3 linked regions of the Nothobranchius furzeri genome follow. The protein of the gene in region 3 interacts with the protein of the main gene of each other region in a pairwise test. Links are inferred from orthologs where the notes say so. Each region holds a gene or a part of one and is shown on either strand. Other genes may lie near its edges. The genes, in order: eaf1, srek1ip1 and stac3.

The links.
Region 1: the proteins of stac3 (region 3) and eaf1 interact in binary tests that used the Homo sapiens proteins (3 or more experiments, as listed by UniProt). The two-hybrid records come from large-scale screens. The link is inferred for Nothobranchius furzeri from reciprocal best matches to the Homo sapiens genes STAC3 and EAF1.
Region 2: the proteins of stac3 (region 3) and srek1ip1 interact in binary tests that used the Homo sapiens proteins (3 or more experiments, as listed by UniProt). The two-hybrid records come from large-scale screens. The link is inferred for Nothobranchius furzeri from reciprocal best matches to the Homo sapiens genes STAC3 and SREK1IP1.

Annotation. Positions count from the first base shown.
Region 1 is NC_091745.1:66,978,833-66,984,946, forward strand, and holds the start of eaf1 (ELL-associated factor 1), read right to left. Parts: upstream 3,420-6,114; 5' UTR 3,231-3,419; coding exon 3,128-3,230; intron 1,732-3,127; coding exon 1,637-1,731; intron 1,344-1,636; coding exon 1,207-1,343; intron 1,100-1,206; coding exon 927-1,099; intron 795-926; coding exon 573-794; intron 403-572; coding exon 353-402; 3' UTR 1-352. Other genes in the region: tRNA N(3)-methylcytidine methyltransferase METTL6, read left to right, coding at 4,076-4,372, 4,523-4,657, 4,910-5,080, 5,275-5,416, 5,559-5,713. UniProt on the Homo sapiens protein: Acts as a transcriptional transactivator of ELL and ELL2 elongation activities.
Region 2 is NC_091748.1:63,076,382-63,082,539, reverse strand, and holds srek1ip1 (protein SREK1IP1), read left to right. Parts: upstream 1-2,467; 5' UTR 2,468-2,600; coding exon 2,601-2,613; intron 2,614-2,878; coding exon 2,879-2,926; intron 2,927-3,224; coding exon 3,225-3,383; intron 3,384-3,880; coding exon 3,881-3,950; intron 3,951-4,173; coding exon 4,174-4,408; 3' UTR 4,409-4,967; downstream 4,968-6,158. UniProt on the Homo sapiens protein: Possible splicing regulator involved in the control of cellular survival.
Region 3 is NC_091755.1:32,734,107-32,740,264, reverse strand, and holds the start of stac3 (SH3 and cysteine-rich domain-containing protein 3), read right to left. Parts: upstream 4,157-6,158; 5' UTR 3,958-4,156; intron 3,270-3,957; 5' UTR 3,240-3,269; coding exon 3,232-3,239; intron 2,790-3,231; coding exon 2,711-2,789; intron 2,538-2,710; coding exon 2,381-2,537; intron 2,302-2,380; coding exon 2,204-2,301; intron 2,092-2,203; coding exon 2,031-2,091; intron 712-2,030; coding exon 614-711; intron 406-613; coding exon 336-405; intron 205-335; coding exon 155-204; intron 86-154; coding exon 3-85; intron 1-2. UniProt on the Homo sapiens protein: Required for normal excitation-contraction coupling in skeletal muscle and for normal muscle contraction in response to membrane depolarization. Required for normal Ca(2+) release from the sarcplasmic reticulum, which ultimately leads to muscle contraction.

The sequences.
Region 1 (6,114 bases), on a different chromosome or scaffold from region 3:
GAAGACTTCCACTACAGGGAAAAAGCTTTTTCATACTAGCCTCATCATAAAAAAGGAGAAAAATAGATCAATTATGCAGATAAAACTAGTGTTTTTTATAAGTACTTAAAATATGTCTGAACACTCTTTATAATCTTCTACATCCTAAAGTAAAACTCTGTTTTTTCCTATACAAAACAAAATGCACATCTAATAAAATGCTATCCTAAGGTTTCTGGGTGGCTATAATAAAATAAAATGTTAAAAAAATACAGTCAAACCAGAAACTTAAAGCTGAGGTCAAAAATCACAGCAAGTGAACGCAAGAACCAGGAAGCGAGGAGGAGGAGGAGTGTGGAGGAGGAGAGCGACTTCAGTCGTCATCACTATCGCTGCCCGACTCGCTGAGCTGAAGATCGCTTCCTGTGGAGGAAAAAGAAAAGTAATAATCTAAGTGAGTAAACTAACTCGTCTGGAATGTATCATCTGAGGAAATCCTGTAATAACACATAAAAATGTGAAGGCACTAACTGATAAATGCAGAGATTTAAAAACAGAAACAGGAGAATCAGCGTTTACGCAGAGCTACTCACGGAGTGTGTTCATGAGCTGGTTGTTGCCCTGCTGCCGGTCTCCTCCGCCGTTGGTGATGGGGGTGCAGCTGGGGGAGGTCTGGCTGAGCGGTTGCGGGGGGGCGTCGTGCTCACCATCGCTACTGCTGCTGTCGTCGCCGCTCCCCGAGCCGCTGGCTGAATCGGACGAGCTGCTGCCGCTGCTGCTCATCTGCTCGATCACCTCCACCTCCGCCCGCAGCTCTGCCAGCGGCAGCAGGTCAGAGACATTATTGGTTCTGGGTTCATTTCACACCAGTTACAATATCCAGCTGATATTTTAGCTAGAATCAGTTTGAGACACACCAGTTCCATCTTGTGACAGAACCTTCTCACCTCGTTTGATGTCATCCAGCTGAGGCTCTGGGGACGGGTTGTCCTTCGTGTGGGAGGGTGAGGTTTTGTTCCCGGCCCCTGGTTTGGTCGGGGCTCGGAACTGAGAGCTTGTCTGGGAGGAACGGACGGACTGCTGCTCGATTCGGGCCTGGATCTTACTGCTGCCCTCCGCCCTATAAAAAATAAACACGGCAGACTCACCAACTGTTGCTCCTTTCTGCTCCCCACTTTAGAATGAATGATTTATCAAGTGTGAAAAAGTAATATACAATTCTCCCACCTTGTTTTCTTGACCTGGATGCTGCTGCTGAGCTTCTCCAGGACAAATTCCCCCGTGTCGTGGTTAATGATGAGCACACAATCCTTCTGATACAACCGCTTGTTTCCTTTAAATACCGTCATTGGAGGCGTGGAGCCCTGGAAGAGTATGTAACTTTACTTGATCCTTTGATTTTTCTTAATAAAATCATACAAAGGGGCTTTTACTTGTTTATTTTATTGGTTCCTGATGTAACTAGATGAAACTGAAACTACATTTAAACATAATCAACTATGATTACTCAACCTAAGCTGCTATCTGACTTTGTTAGCAGAGGGAAAGCACTTGATTGACACTTAATAACATTAATAATGTTGAATAACCATAACTGTGAGCCAGCTGACACAAATGTGAGAATGGTGCTTTGTTGTTTACGTCTCTGCAACCTTACTGGAATATGAGGTAGTGTTATGGTAACTTCATCTCCTTTCCCAACTTGTAGCTCTCCCTCACAGCTCGTGTCGATCGATGCTGGTTTGAAGTCATCTAAGAATAAATAAATAAATTAGGCATGAATCAAGTCCTTTCACTGCTTAGAAAAACTTAAATAAATAGAAAAAGAAGTAAATTATATAATTATTAGAGATGTATGATATATCTGCATCAATATCGAGTATTGGCCGATGTTAGTACATTTTTAACATACCAGTCCGACAATTAAAACTGGGCCGATTTTAAGAACTGATATTTTTTCCATCTTATTTCCGTTTGTGTATGTTTCAGAGGGTAAGGGGCAGTTATGATGTGTAATTGTTGAGACATGTGACCGTGATGGTAATCATCTGGCGACGGTGGCACAGGAGTTAAGTGCTCGCCCTGTAATCGGAAGGTTGCAGGTTCGAGCCCCGCTCAGTCTGTTGCTGTCGTTGTGTCCTTGGGCAAGACCCATGTTATCTGCTGGTGGTGGTCGGAAGGACCGGTGGCGCCAGTGCTCAGCAGCCTCGCCTCTGTCAGTGCGCCCCAGAGCAGCTGTGGCTACATCGTAGCTCATCCCCACCAGTGTGTGAATGTGTGTGTGAATGGGTGAATGACTGGTTGTGTTGTAAAGCACCTTGGGGGGTTCCAGGACTCTAGACGGCGCTATATCAAATACAGGCCATTTACCATTTACCAGAAGCGTACGTGTGTGTGTGTGTGTGTGTGTGTGTGTGTGTGTGTGTATAACATAATGCAAATTCAACTTCATAGAAATAAAGCAAAACATTCCAAAATTCAACTTGCATAATTTCAGTCTATTCAAAATCTGCTGATTTCAGATGCATAAAACGGTATTGGCCAATATTGGTTATCGGCCATAACAGTGATACTAATCTCGGTACCGGCCCAAAAAATTCATATTGGTGCATCCCTTATTATTATTAATTATTTAGTTTCTAAAAATGAAAGAGATTCAAACTTAGCTAATCACCCTTATATGTTTTAAATTATAACTTTGCTTGACTCTGCTAATATGACATTAATTTACAAACCGGGAAATATTTAAATAATGTGCTGCTGGTATTTGGGTGAAATGTGCATTTATTAATTATTGGTCACACTGTCTACTTGGCTTAGGAAATGTTTAAATAAACAAAGCAAAATTAAGTAAAAGTTGAATGATGATCAGTTAATAATTGATAATAACCAAGGACTTAAAAAAAAAACATTAAACCCCACAATTTAACTTTCTATTTTTTACATAATAAACACATTTCTGTTCAGCAATTTCTTTCAGTTCGGTGTTTTGCAGTTCATACATGTAAATCAAATTTTCTCATTTATTGTGTACTTCTGTAACCGTAATGAATGTAATAGCTGTATCACTGTGAGCTAATTACTTCCAACCAACAGCTGACTTTACTAAAAGCTTTTAGAAACACAAAGTGGTCTCTTTCACACTCACATCTGATGGTGTGAAAAGATGATTTTGGCCTTTTCTCGAAGCTCTCTCCGAGCTTCAGAACATGTTCCTCTTTGTCCAGCAGTGGATTTGTGTTTCCGTTCATGACTTCGTCTGGTTGAAACCGGATTAAATTTTACATTTGTGTTACAACCGAAAAACAGAGCTATATCCAGCAACTACCGGAGATGATAATCTAAATAAAGATAAAGTTAGCTTGCAGATGCTAACCTTTAGCAAAACAACACTTACGTCACGCGACTGCAGCTTTTTCGGTGTTAAGTGAAAAACGGTTTACTCGTATATCAGTGTGCGGGTTTTCCGTTCTGAATTCTTGGAAAATAAATATGTTTACCTCATTGAACAATTATTCAGTTATTAGTATTTGACTTAAGTATGAATTTATTTTTACCGAACACAGATTAAATAATTTTAAAAAGTAATATTTTCCGTACGTTTTTGCCATGCTGTGATGACTAATGTTTTAATTAAACTATCAAAAGTTTTCAGTTTAGTTATTTTATTATCAGATAATTGGTTTAAACAACAAAGTTAAAGGGGAAACTCGCTTAAAATAGGAGGAGAAACTGTTGTTGTGAGGAAACATATCTCGGCGTAACACTGCCTTTGGTCCGAGCATCAAATACCACCGACGGAAAACCAGACTGGGTGTAAGTGATTTCAGAGCTGTTAAAAATATTTGTAACTTATTTAAACAATAAAATTGTACAGTCAAAATTTATATTATATTTTGTATAAATTTTGTGTTTTAAAGCGTTGACCACCGTGGTATTTTTTTTAATAACACCAACCGGTACCGGTGTCATCGATGCTGCACAAGATGGATGCCAAGTGTGGAAAAATATTACCTCCTTTTTCTTCCTATTGAAGCTTATATAAAGCTTTATTTTATAAACAAACTATCAGAGAGAACGGCAATCTAACACAACAATGGCGTTAATGACAAATGAAAAGTGCAAAGTTGAAGACATTGAAGAAGTGGAACCCGAAACAAAGGTGGAGTCACGGGGACGAGAAACAAAACTTTGCTCTGTCAGAGATTTAACTCCAGAGGAACGGGACAGACTGAGCAGTGAGCGGACGCTGGTATCTGATTTCAAACAAATTAAGCTGGAGAAAGAAGCGCAGAAAAATTGGGACTTGTTTTATAAAAGAAACACCACGAATTTCTTTAAAGACAGACACTGGACCACCAGAGAGTTTGAGGAGCTTAAAGCCTGTCGGGAGGTGAGCGGATAAGGGGTGTTTGATTAAACTTAGCATATGTAGTGTAGAATGAACTTAGTTTATGTAAAGAATATCAACGTTTCACAGTGATTTGAGGCCAAACGGACAACAAAGTGATGATTTTGGGTCACGTGGTCTGTCTCTTTGCAGTTCGAGTCCCAGAAACTGATTCTGCTGGAAGCTGGATGCGGGGTTGGGAACTGCATCTTCCCCCTTCTGGAGGATGACCTCAACATCTTTGTTTATGCCTGTGACTTTTCTCCTCGGGCAGTTGATTTTGTCAAAGTAAGGTGCTTAACTGTGTACTTGTGGAAATCCACCTTTTCTAGCACGTCTAGTTAATCTTAGTGCTCTAGAAGTTAAAAATAAAAATGAAAAAAAGCTTTGCTGCAGTGTAGCTGCCTTTGATGCCATTTGTGGTAAAACCCGGTTCAGCTGCCTTAACAGGAGATTTCAAGGGCTAAGAGTAACCAAATGGGAAAAAAACAGCATTTAAAGATGTAAACATTTGTTTTGTTATTTGTTTTTATTAATCAGGAAAACCCTCTTTACTGCACTGAGCGCTGTTGTGCTTTCCAGTGTGACTTAACAAGAGATGATCTGATGGAAAATGTCCCAGAAGGCAGCGTCGATGTTGTCACGCTCATCTTTGTCCTGTCGGCCATCCATCCCGACAAGATGAAGCTGGTTTTGGAGAACATCAGCAAGGTAGAGTTAAGAGCTGAGACCACCACGCACAATTCACTCAATTCAGGTGGAACTTAAAGGTGCAGTAAGTAAGAGTGACATCCTGTGGTCAAACATGGTTACTGCAGTCTATTTTTTTGAGTACAAATCACTTTTTATGCAAACCTGCACAAAACTGGCATTCAGCGATGTAACAATCTACATGTGGCTTTAAGGTGCTGAAGCCCGGTGGTGTTGTCTTGTTCAGGGACTATGGCATGTACGACCACGCCATGCTCCGGTTTAAATCTGGAAACAAGCTTGGGGAGAACTTCTACGTTCGCCAGGATGGAACAAGGTCCTACTTCTTCTCCAAAGGTCAGCAGAGTATTTCTGTTCAGTCAACTCAGTCTCAAGTGAAAGAGGGGACATGTTGCACATTTAAAATTATTGAATTGATTATATATGAATTTGTTTTTTTTTTCCTCCTCCTGGAATCTTGCTGTTTTCAACTTTTCAGAGTTTCTGGCTAAGCTGTTTCTGGAGGCGGGCTTTGACCTTGTGTCCAACGAGTACGTTCTGAGAGAGACGGTAAACAAGAAGGAAGGACTGTGTGTTCCGAGGGTTTTCCTTCAGAGCAAATTCATCAGACCTGCACATCCACAGAGCTCCTGATGTCACTGTTAACTCACAAATCTCTAAGGGAAGACTGACATGTCAGGTTTGGACTGGATGGAAAAATGTACAAGTTCTGTATGATGGGAAGCCATCATAGGACCACAAGGGGTTTGGGGACATTTTAAAAGAAAGTGTTCACTTTTCTTACAAAATATTTATAAGCTGTGTAACATTTACTCTGTAAATAAATTCTGAGCTTATTCAGCTCTGATGTTGAGTTGAGGGGAAGCATTTATTTTTCAGGGGCACGTGGTGGACAGTGGGGGTTGTGGACATGGCAGGGCACGGGTGCCCTGTCTGTTGAGTAGATCCCAAACAGGTGCCTCCTGCCCCAGAAGATGTTTAAATTGTTTAAAACCAGTGTTGTGCATCATGAAGGAAGAGGAGAGCCAAATGTT
Region 2 (6,158 bases), on a different chromosome or scaffold from region 3:
ACGCGGGCTGCATTCTGCTTGACCTGTCGTATCCATCAGCTGCCTCTAGAGTCCCACCGGCCAAAAGAACCTGATAGGAGTCTTTCTTCAGCTTGACAGCATCCCTAACCGCCAGTGTCCACCAGCGTGTTCAGGGGTTGCCTCCACGACAGGCGCTGACGACCCTGCAGCCACAGCTCTGGTCAGCCACCTCATCAATGGAAGTATGGAACATGGCTCCCTCTGACTCAATGTCCCCTGCTTCCCTCAGGACGTGTTCGAAATTCTGTCTGAGCCAACTGACCAGCAGGTAGTGGTCAATTGACAACTCCACCCCTCTCTTCTCCTGAGGGTCCAAAACATGCGACCGCAGATCAGATGAAACAACAACAAAGTTGATCATCGAACTGCGGCCTAAGGTATCCTGGTTCCAAGAGCACATGCGGACACCTTTATGCTTGAACATGTTGTTCATTATGGACAATCATGACAGAAGTTCAGTAACAAAACACCACTCAAATTCAGATCAGGGGGGCGTTCCTCCCAACTACACCTCTCCAGGTCTCACTGTCATTTCTCACGTGAGCGTTAAAGTCCCCCAGCAGAACGGGGTAGTCACTGGAAGGAGCGCTCTCCAGCACCCCCTCCAATGACCCCACAAAGTGTGGGTAGTCTGAATTGTAGTTTGTTGCATAAGCACAAACCACAGTCAGGACCCTTCTCGAGGAAACTGGTTCCAGAGCCAAAGCCATGTGTTGAGGTGAGTCCAACAATATCTCGCATCTCAACCATACACAACAACTCCAGCTCTTTCCGTACCCGAGAGGTGACATTGCACGTACCGAGAGCAAGCTTTTGTAGCCGAGGTCCCTGCCTTTGTCTACCACCCGTCACACAACCTGACCCCTTTGGCCCCTCCCACGAGTGGTGAGCTCATGGAGAGGATACCCACATTTCCTCTTCGGGCTGTGCCCGGCTGGGCTTCATGGGCGAAAGCCCAGCCACCAGGTGCTCACCAACGTGCCCCACCTCAGGCCTGGCTCCAGAGGGGAGCCCTGTGGTGTGCCCATCTGAGGAAGGGAACCTAGTTTCCATTTGTGTTTTTCCTCATAAAGGGTCTATGGGCCACACTTTATCTGATGGTGGTTTACTTCCTACATCTTCAACCAGGCTGTGGGACTCTTTTACAACGTTCTTGCTAATTCGACATTTGTTTTTCCAGCAATGGGCTGTCTCACATAGAAAAGAAGTCTGTTTGAATTTGCTTTGTTCTCTCACCTGCAGACGTAAACCAACAGTGATGCAGATAAGTTTATTTTTTCCAGTTTTCTATTTTGAATGCAGATGTTACAGGAATGTCAAAATATTATTTAGAAAACATTTGATCTTGCCAAATGTTTTCAGGGACATCAGCTTTTATGGGGAATCTTCTGATTACTTTATCATTTCCTTTTTTACTAAGTTAATTCTAGATTTACTTCTGGCAGTTTGGTGTGTGTGTGTGCGTGTGTGTGTGTGTGTGTGTGTGTGTGTGTGTGTGTGTGTGTGTGTGTGTGTGTGTGTGTGTGTGTGTGTGTGTGTGTGTGTGTGTGTGTGTGTGTGTCACAGCCACAGACCTAATGATGACAGCACGTCTGGGGGCCCAACATCTGTCAGCATTTTCCATCTTCAAGCCTGGCTGCTGTCAATTAACCCCTGGCAAATAAAACCACACCAGACTTTGCTGGTAAATCAATCAGGAAAAGTGCAAACATTGCTAAATAACGAGTTTTTGTTGATTACAGAGATATCATTTATGAAAACAAAGTATTTTTAATTAAAACTTGAAATATGAACTAGCTAAACATTTGGAGGTACATGTTTCGATTTATGAATTTCTGTCACTGGCTGCTGCACAAACTACCTGAATCCTTTTTCGTTTGCTGATTATCCTAATGCTTTTGTTTGTTTGTTTTTCTGCAATGTGTAAACTGTTTTATTTATTGTTGCTCTGCAAGGACATTCCTAGATGTAAATCTCAACGACCCTTTCAGTTTAAAAAACTTTAATTAAATTTAAAAAGTGGTCAAAACTACTGTCCATGTGTTTAAACCTTGTTGATGTTGAAGTACCACCACAGACCCAATGATGACAACATCCAACTGTTTCCTTTAAATATATCCAGTGTTCATTGTAATGCTTATTTTTTCTTCTTGAATGAACGTCGTTTTGATCTTTGCCTTATTGGCTAGCTAGGTCTCCCTTAATAAAGATTTTTTAACCTCCATGGGCTTTCCCTGGTTAAATAAAATAAAATAAAATAAAATAAAATAAAATAAAATAAATAAATAAATAAATAATACTAGTAACTGTAAGGAACCATAAGATTTATTTTATTTATTTATATTTTTTGGAGACGATCTTTTTTTTTTGTAGGTCTTTGTTTTTAGCACATGTCCAGCAGGTGGCGACATTGAGCCACTGATTTTGTTTTCTAAACAGGAAATTAGAAGAAGAGAGGGAGGAAGCAGTAGTTTCAGGTGCAAATGTTTCCGGTCGACGGTATTGTTCTTGTAGACTTGCATTCGCTCTGAAATATATATTTTTTAAAACAAATTTGTAGTTTTATCACCAAAAGCACAATGGCGGCACCAGGTAGGGGTTCTGTTTGAGTGTTTTTAGGCTAATTTTTTGATCATTTAGCGTAGATAAGATAAGTAAAGTGGAGCTCATCTTTACAACAGTTAAACCTCCAACAAACACGGAGACTACTCCTGGCATTTTCGCACAAATCCTGGATATATTATAACTTAGCTAAATATCGTTAAACAATTTCTGTGTTGAAAAAGAAATAATGCAGTCATAAAGCGCTTTCCCGCGTGAATCTTCGTGATATTTAACCTCTTGTATCACCTGACAGCTGCCAACAAAGACAACATCAGAGCTGGCTGTAAGAAATGTGGCTATCGTAAGTAACTTTATCTAATAGATTACTTATTAGTACAAATGTATGCATTCGATTTATTTTTCAAGTTACATTTGAAAAGTGAATTCTTTGAATCTTAAATGCTTTTGGAGACAGATAGAGGTACTTTGTTTAAAATGAGCCAAAAACAAGTTATATGATTTAAAATATGCTATCAGTAATGAAGAACTGTGTAAATAATTAGATTTAATGTTTTCACTGACGTTTTTCCATCTGAACAAATGTTCTTTTCCTTAATTTAGTGTTTCAATTGTGATCTCTTTTTGTGTTCGTTTCTCAGCGGGACATTTGACGTTTGAGTGCCGAAACTTCGTCCGGGTCGACCCGCAGAAAGACATTGTTCTGGATGTGAGCAGCACCAGCAGCGAGGAGAGTGAAGATGACGGACCAGTTTCTCAGCACACAGAGAAACTGGGACGGAGTGGTCAGCATCACAAAGGTCAGATGGCTTAAAATTTGCTTAAATCAATAATATTTTGATTAAAATAAAGCAAAGAAAGTGCAGACTACCATCCATCTATCTATTTTCCTCCGCTTATCCGGGTTCGGGCCATGGGGGCAGCAGCTTAAGCAGAGAGGGCCAGGCTTCCCTTTCCCGAGCCACTTGGTCCAGCTTCTCTGGGGGAATCCCAAGGCGTTCCCTGTCCTACTGAGAAACATAGTGCCTCCAGCTTGTCCTTGGTCTTCCTTTAGGTCTACTCCCAGTTTGACGTGTCTGGAAAACCTCACCAGGGAGGCATCCTAACCAGATCCTCTCAATGTGGAGGCAGACCGTCACCGCTTACTTTACATAAGAAACTAAAAAAAATCAAACAAGAGACTTTCAAATGCTAATCAAACTTTCTGTTCTTCTATGATTCAGGTCCTGTTCTGCTTCTACTGTGACTTGCTTTGATTCAATGTCGACTTTTCCTTTCATTATTTTCAATGTTTTAGATTCCAATGATGATGACGATAGAAAAAAGAAGCGGAAACAGAAGAACAAAGACAGAAAGTCAAGAAAAAGGTCATTTATCTTGTGTTTATATTAAGATACGTGTTTTTAATGCTCCTATATTCTCAATTACTGTGTTGAAAAAAGCATGTAAGTTGTTGGAAAATATTTTTCATTCCACTAGTTAAAGATAGACTAATAATGTATTATTTTAGATGTTTTTATAGTTGATACTTAAAGATTTGAAGTGTTTTCTTGGTTTTACCAAAGCCAGTAACTATTATTTAAAATTTAGATCTTACTCGTCGTCGAGTGATGGGGGCACAAAAAAAAAGAAGAAGCGAAGCAGATCAAGCTCATCGTCGGATGAAGAGGAGAGAAGAAAGAAAAAGAAACTAAGCCGCAAGAAGAAGAGTAAAAAGAACAAAAAAGAGCACGGGAAGCATCACAAAATGAAAGAGAAGAAGAGGAAACACAAATCATCCTCATCATCCTCTTCCACCTCTGGTGAATCATCAGACAGTGACTGAACAGTGTCGTTTCTGGACGACGTGTTTATTCAGAAGTGTAGATGGTCTGCGTTTTGACACTTTATAAATGCAGCAAATCAAATAGTTTCATCTGAGCTTTCCTTTCTGAGTGTTAAAGTAAATTTTGTCTGCTACAGATTAATGGCAACAATATGACGTAAGGGTTAAAATGACTGCTGATTTCCTCTGAGACTGTCAGGAACCCATCTTTATACAAGGATTTAAAATATTAAACACTTCATACTGCAGGTTAATAAGTTCCTATTTCTGTTATTTTTATGTATTTTAGTCAAAAAGGATCAATTTAAAAGGTCAAAGTGCTTTTAAACATGAGGGCAGTACGGTGGTTCAGTTGGTAGTGCTGTTGCTTTGCAGCGGGAAGGTCACAGGTTCAAATCCTGACCTTTCTTTGTGTAGGTTGCATGTGTGAGGTTTCTGCAAAAATGCATAAACAGTCAGTGAAATGCATCATCTTTGCTGTAATTACTGCAGGTTTGTCTTAGTTTTCTGTTGATCACTGACCCTTTACTGGGAATAAAACATGTTTGTTTCAGTTTAATCTGTCACTGTTTTCCCTTTGTAATCTAATCTGACCAAATTTAATAAACCACCAATCCTGATTGACAAAAAAAAAAAAAAAAACGGACTAAATATGGTTCATATGCAGCCACATGGCCACTAGAGGGAAGCATCACACCTCATATTTCTATCTGGTAAACTGCTGTTTAACAACATCAGCACTTAAAAGAGAAGTTTCAGCTTCATGAAAGGTTTGGAGTTATTCACTAGTGCTAAAGATGCTCAAAAGTCCCTAAAAGAAGTGCATTCAGATCCTTTCACAATAAGGCTGTATTAAGTAAGACATCAACCTCAAATCAAATTTAAACCTTTAAAGAAAATTATATTTAAAAAAAAAGGTGTGGACATGATGACCTTTTCCTTATGTGCTAGTATGAACCAACCATCAGGCTACCCAGTAGTCATGTTGGACAAAAGTCCTGTTCATGTGCACTGGAAACGAGTTACGGAGGTGATGATGACATTTTATGTTTAATTCGCCACAACATCATGATTAGGCACATTTCTGAGCAACAACACTGCTTGGCAGAGGCACCTGTGTAAATCCTCATCACAGCAAAGTGTTTGGAAGGAGCGATGAAGACAGAGTTTTGTGTATTTAATGAACCATTTAGTTGTTATGCATCGATATTAGAGCGATGACATCTAATGAGCCCAAAACGACAAACTGCTATTTCCACCCTGAGGCTGAACTACCCCCCTCTTGTGCAGAGTTTTAGAAGGCAGGGAAAAAATGGAGGCTTTATGCTGGCTGATGGGTTGGTGCTAGTGATACACCCTTATGAAATTGTTGGGCAGATTCCGATATTACAGTTTTTCTCAATTGCTAAAACACTAAAATCCATTGACTGAAGAACGTTCTCTGTTGCTTGAACTCATTAAGCTAACTGTTGAGCCTGTTGTCAAAACCTTAAACCATTTCACACGGTTTAGCAAAACTCTAAACGCATTTCTCGTTCTTAAAACACATTCTGCACTCTAATGTACATGTCGTCCATAACGGTAAACACAAGTGGCACACATTTACCCATAACAAGAGCACACATGCCATTGATTGAACACAATCAGTCTAAATAGATTTCACTTGTTTCAAATTATGTGACAACCAGCATAAGCAAGTTCAGAGAGCAAACAGGTTGTTGAAGGTGGGAATGAGAAAGTGGGACATTGG
Region 3 (6,158 bases):
ACTGGAAGTCAAGATCGTCTTTCTCGATTGCCTTGAAGCGGTAGAGAGCCAGGTAGTAGTGGGACCCGGTAAATGTTCCCTTACTCTGTTGACAAAAATGACAGATTATGGAGATTTTAAACAAAATGCATCCTTATGAAATGTTTGCTTTGACCTTCTCGTCTGCTTTGTCTCCTCCTTTTTCTTTCTTATCCTCGGGTTTTCCTGTGCGAACAGTCACCAAGTCCGTTCGTGAAACTTATTAACAGCCATCATTTTTCTTTGCAGAAAACTAATTTCATAGATTTATGCCTAATAGCAATTATTGTGTAATTTACCAAGGTACATTTTCTTACCTTCTCCTGCTTCCTCACTCTCTTTGGGCTGCTGGTTCTCCTCCTCTTCCTCTTCCATCATCATCATCATCTAAAGCACATATAAGTGAATAAATGTTGTGATTTATTGACAATATTCTGAAGTTACCTAAAGTCATTTTGAGCAGTGCATCTGCTTTAATCAATTATTTTTCAAATGTGTGCTTTCATACCTTTGTTGGGTTTGTTTTACACAATGATGTGTTTCTGAAATGTGTTTTATTGTGTTTTTATTGATGAAACTCATCGTAAATACTCACATTTTTCTTGTCATTTTCATTCTTTTTGCGCTCCTTGTTCGCCATGATGACACCAACTCTCAGTGTGTCAAAGACTGGGTCGTTTCGGTTTGGGTTGTCTGGTGTCGGATGGAAAATTTTGGCCAGAAAATATCAGCACTTTCAATTATAAAGCTTTATTTAATGAATAATCTGTAGAAAATGCTATAGTCCAGGCATTACAAACATTAGATTTTTTTATCTCAAATTTTTAGGGATGCACTGATACAAAAAATGGGCTAATATTAAATGGCTATTATTAGACCATGCTGAAGAATTTGATGTTTAATATGTACATGGCATGTAAAAGTTGTGTCATTAAAAGAGTGAAAATCAACTCATTATTTCTGATATTACATTTTAAAGGTGCACTATGTAAAAATATAGTGAAAAATCTACAGTGAGAAAATCCAAAAAGTGTTGGTCATTTTAGAAGGAAGGTTATATTTAAACACATTTCATATCCAGCTGGCTGTGAGGATTGTCAGTTCATCTCATTTCAAAACAAAGGAAAGATGGACGTAACTAGTGTTTACTACCAGTGAGTGTTGTCATGATCCGCCCCGGCCTCCCTGACTGTGTCTCTCCTGCCCTGATTAGCCTTATTGTTCTCACCTGTCCCTCATTACTCTGCCCATGTGTTCCTGATTCCCTTGTGTATTTATACCTCCCTCCTTGTTGCTGTCTTTGTCGGTTCATTGTCGTTTGTGCATGTTCGTTCGTCCTGTTGCTCCCAGTCTACGATTAAACATCTTTTAATTTTTTCATCCGTTGCCTGCTCATCTGCCTCCTGAAACCCACCACCCGCAGAACATGACAAGTGTGGGGTTGTTGTGTCTCCTGCGAGCTAATACTGCAGCGCCGATAGTTGTAATTTGACTACGGCCGGCAAAAAGCTCCAGAGTTGTTTAAAGTGATTGCAGCAACCAGATTTTACCACAGATTGTCATATTTACTTCATTTCTACATAATGCACCTTAAATGCCAACATTAGCTGTTAGTAACGGACATCCCTAAAATATAATTACACCTTTGTAAGGAAGATTTTTCAACATTGGGCACTTCTAACCATTATAAATTGTAGATTGCTCTCAATGATTGATTGATTGACTGATTGACATGATTAAAAATTCACTGCATGACCATCTCTCTCCAAGATACAACAATAGCAACTAGATGGAAGAAAGTATCAGCCAAGTTTTACTTATTGGACCGATACACAGATAAAAAACAAACATCAGCCGATATGATGTTGATGTCGATATTTCCGACCTCCCTACTAATTTTACACATCTGCTTAAAAGAATTCACCGTAAAATTTAATTATTTTACTCTGATTTAGCAGTAATAAATAAAGGATTACTAATTCTAGGAGTGATTGAAGGTTTGATGGACTCACTTGGATCTGGGATGTCGCTGCTGTACAGAGGAGAACTATAGGCTCTTCTAAAGCCAGGTGGCTACAAGACAAAGAAAAAAAAAGAAAAAATTTCAACTAAAACCTTCCATTTAGTCCTGTAGTGCTTTTTTAGACATTTAAATTCAAATGTGTGTGAGAGAGAGAAAACTCACGATTTTTCCAAAGCACTTCTGGAACTCGACATAGGACTGACACGAATGGTGGATGTTGGTCTTGCAGTTTTTACACCTCAGACAAAATTTGTTGTTCACTAAGAGATGTGCAAAGTTAACCGAATCATCATAAATCTCAAAATATGTCTCGTGATATTTTCTGGGTTAAACACGTACAGACTATCATGCGAGCGCAGACGTCACAGAACTTGGGTTTCTTGCAGTAATGGTCCTTAAACTTGTGAGGTTTGTCATTGATCCGAACAATGGGCTCGGAAGGAGGTTCTGGTTCCTTCTCCTCTACCTCCACCTCCTCCTCATAAATAAAATAGACCTGCAAGCAAAGACGAAGAAGAGAACAGTTCCATACAGGTGATCAGGACTTATTTATTAACTCATGAGATATAAACAAACACCATATTGCAGTCCCGTCCCAGCTGGAGGCTATTTTAATCAGCCTGAGAACGGCTGCTAATAGCGAGTGGTTGACGTGGTGCTGCCACTCACCGTGTCTCCTTCCTCCCTCACTACATTGTCAGGGGCTGGAGGATTGTCGTGGATGTCCACGGAGTTTTTGTCATCCTCTCTAAGAAGCACAAAGAGAAAGATGAAGACCAACTGAAGCCACCTGCCATGACTGTGGTGTAAAAACGTATCGCAGAGGGAACATCTGGATCATGTGAGGAGATTTATCAGCAAACGTTAATGTGAAAACTGCTCAAAGTTTGAAGGACATTTTTTTTTACATCGCACCTTTTCCCATCATGCACAAACATCAACCAGCTGGTGATAGGGCTCCAGGATCCAGACCAGTTACATATAAATCCAAACACACACCTTTTTGATGAGTGAACTCTTAAACCAGGAACATTGAGGAGAACCATGATGTGCTTCAACAAGATTCCCCGTTCATCACCTCAAACAAACCTGATTTTAGTCGCACTGGTAAATTTAGAGCTCAGATTTTATTTAGTGAAACCCACAGAGATGTTAGAAACATGCAGCACATGGACATGAACTGTACTCACTGATCCATGGAGTGCTGGAAATATCAGTATACTGCACCCTTAAAAGAAATCATGTACATTTTACTGTCTGTCTTTTCTCAAGATGCACTTGCAGTTTGTCAGTAGCTCGTTTTTCCTAAATGCAAAACAAGGCCACATCTTTTGGATTGCATGTTTCTTTTCTGATTTGCCTACATTTTGAAGGACTTGTTTGTTTTTAAGCACCAAACACGTTCCTGGATGACAAGGGAAATTGTTGCTATAGTTGAAATTCACTATTTCAGACAAGGATCTGGTCAAATTATTAACTATAAAGCAAGCAGAGACATAAAACATGTCTTTAGTCTCTCTCTGTGTGACATTCGGAGCTAATACCTTGTAGCAAACAGTGGTAAAGAGCATTTGTCATCCTGACCTGCTCTATTCTTGGTTTTTGAAATTTGATCTGAAAACTAAATTTAGGAACTGCTGCATGTCAGGAAAATATTCCAGACAGCATAAAAGAATTTCAGGAAAAATGAGTAAATAACGGGCTAAATGGATGTAGCATTCACACAACGTTCCTACAAAACGATTCCATTAGGCATTTTTGCTACTTGAGACATAATTAAAAATTACACATAAACTTCACCATCACTTACCAAGTTATTAGAGGTTACACAGAAAAGGTAAATAAAAAAATGCTTCCCTTCACCTGCTAGATTTTTCTGAAGTGTTATGTGGCCATTGAAGCAGAGTTTGACTTACCAACTGACCAAAATGCTCCCTCACTTTTCAGCACTTCTGGATCCAGTACTGTATGGTCCCTCTGTGTTTCCTTCAGGTTATTCCCACACTGGGCGTGAATGCTGAGTGCGACCCAGATATTTATTAAAGCTGTAAGTTTGTGTATCTATGGGTGTAATTGTGAGCATGACAGGCTGAGCACTGCTTTGTGACGTTGACAGTTTGCAACAGCTGAAGGACCTCAAACTAAGCACCAGTGACGATGAGAAATCAGATATGTTCTCTACACACACACACACACACACACACACACACACACACACACACACACACACACACACACACACACACACACATACACACACACACACACACACACACACACACACACACACGCACGCACGCACGCACGCACGCACACACACACAAAGGTATCTGTCCTGCTCATGGGCCTGTATCCCTCCATTCTTTTGGGAGACCAAGGAGAAACAACAAAAATGACTACATCTCTTTCAAAGTTGTAAAAACTATTTTATTTATATATATGTTCAAGTTGTTCTGAATGCTAGTAGATGCTGCAAAAGCTGGATAAATACATAAAAGAAACATTGATTTTTAAACAATAACTGCCATGTAACTCAACCACTCTAGCAAGCATCTTTATTCGTTGTTTTATTTCATTTGTAACAAATAATCCTATAAAGTTTTTCCTCTGTTTATATACAAAATATTTTTGAGCTGTCAGCCCAGTATTAACTCCAACTCAGAATACTTTTTTACAAAGGTGTATTTTGTTGATGTAGAGGTTAAAACGTTGTACACAAATATAATACATTTATTTGTTTGTGTATTTATTAGTTGTTTACGGAATATTATTCTGTTATGTCCTGTCCACCAAACAGCGCCCCCTGTGGATTGACGTCTGACTGGAACACTACAAATGTCTCGTTGCATGTTGGGTACAATATTCCTTACGTGCTCAGTGCGCCTGCGCAAAACAAAACTCCATTATTTTTTTCTCGGAATTTGTAAGAAAAAAACAGAGGGTAACTGTGAATTGGGGATTACACGGGTCGTTATGTTTGTCGGAATACCATTGAATGCTATGCGGATTAGCAGAAGAAAGACCAAAGCGACGGCTGGATAGGTGTGGAGCGGGAACGGGACATCCCTCTGTCTTTGTGGGACACTCTAGAACAAGTAAATATCACTGAGTTAGCCCCTCCAGTTAGCCTAGCTGGGAACGCTAGCCTCCAGAAGAACCCAGGCGTAGTAAAATGAAGCGTTATTGCCCCCTTTGTTTTTAAGTCCGACTGGAAGACGTTGACTAACATTTGAGTGCTGACTCGCCGTGCCAGTTCGTGATTTGGATTATGTAATGATTCGTTTTAGTTATTAGAGTGTTGATCGTTTTCTACGTATTTTATTTAGTATTAATTTAGTAGTCCTAACTAGCTAACTCTTGATTTTCCAGCGAACGAAAAAGAGCGAAGACTTCTAAACTTGGTGGTCAACACATAGCTTGACGCAGAGAAAGATTGTTCACAACATGTTGACGTTAGCTAACAAATATTTGTTAATAAGTGAAATGTGTGGATAAGTTTCATGAAGGTTTTTAGCTAAACAATGTCGTGCAACGCTCGTTTCTTGTACCCGTAGCTAAGACACTAGAGTTTTGCATCGGGAGTGTTTAGTGCTCCTGACAGCTGTCACGACAACAGAGTACCAAGTGGATTTAGCCTGTTAGCTTAGCTGTTAGCTTACACGTTAGCTGCAATATTTATACCGTAATGTTGTTAAACGCATGCATTTAGACGTTTTTCAGACTCCGTGGGATTTAATTTAAGTCTATTTTCCATTGCTTGTTGTTTTCTGACTTTGTTTTGGGAGAGGCAACTGTTTACATTATAGCGAATCAACTACAGGCCTACCCAAACACACCCTCCTACTTCAAAAAAGCCACAGTTTGCTCTGAAGTTGAACTTTTTCTGAGGTAGCAGGGCATCCGATGTAATCTCTCCTTTTTCCAAGTGTGGTTGAATGAGATCAGTTTGAAGAAAGATTTATTGTAGCACATATTCACCGTGCTCCCCCTCTGCCAGATTACATAATCCACCTCATCCACCTTTCTCTGCAGGCTCTTCATCTAAACCACTATTCTGATGTGACCTGAACTAATAAATCTGTTGGAATCATCCAGGAAGTTGAAGGCTTTCCTCGCA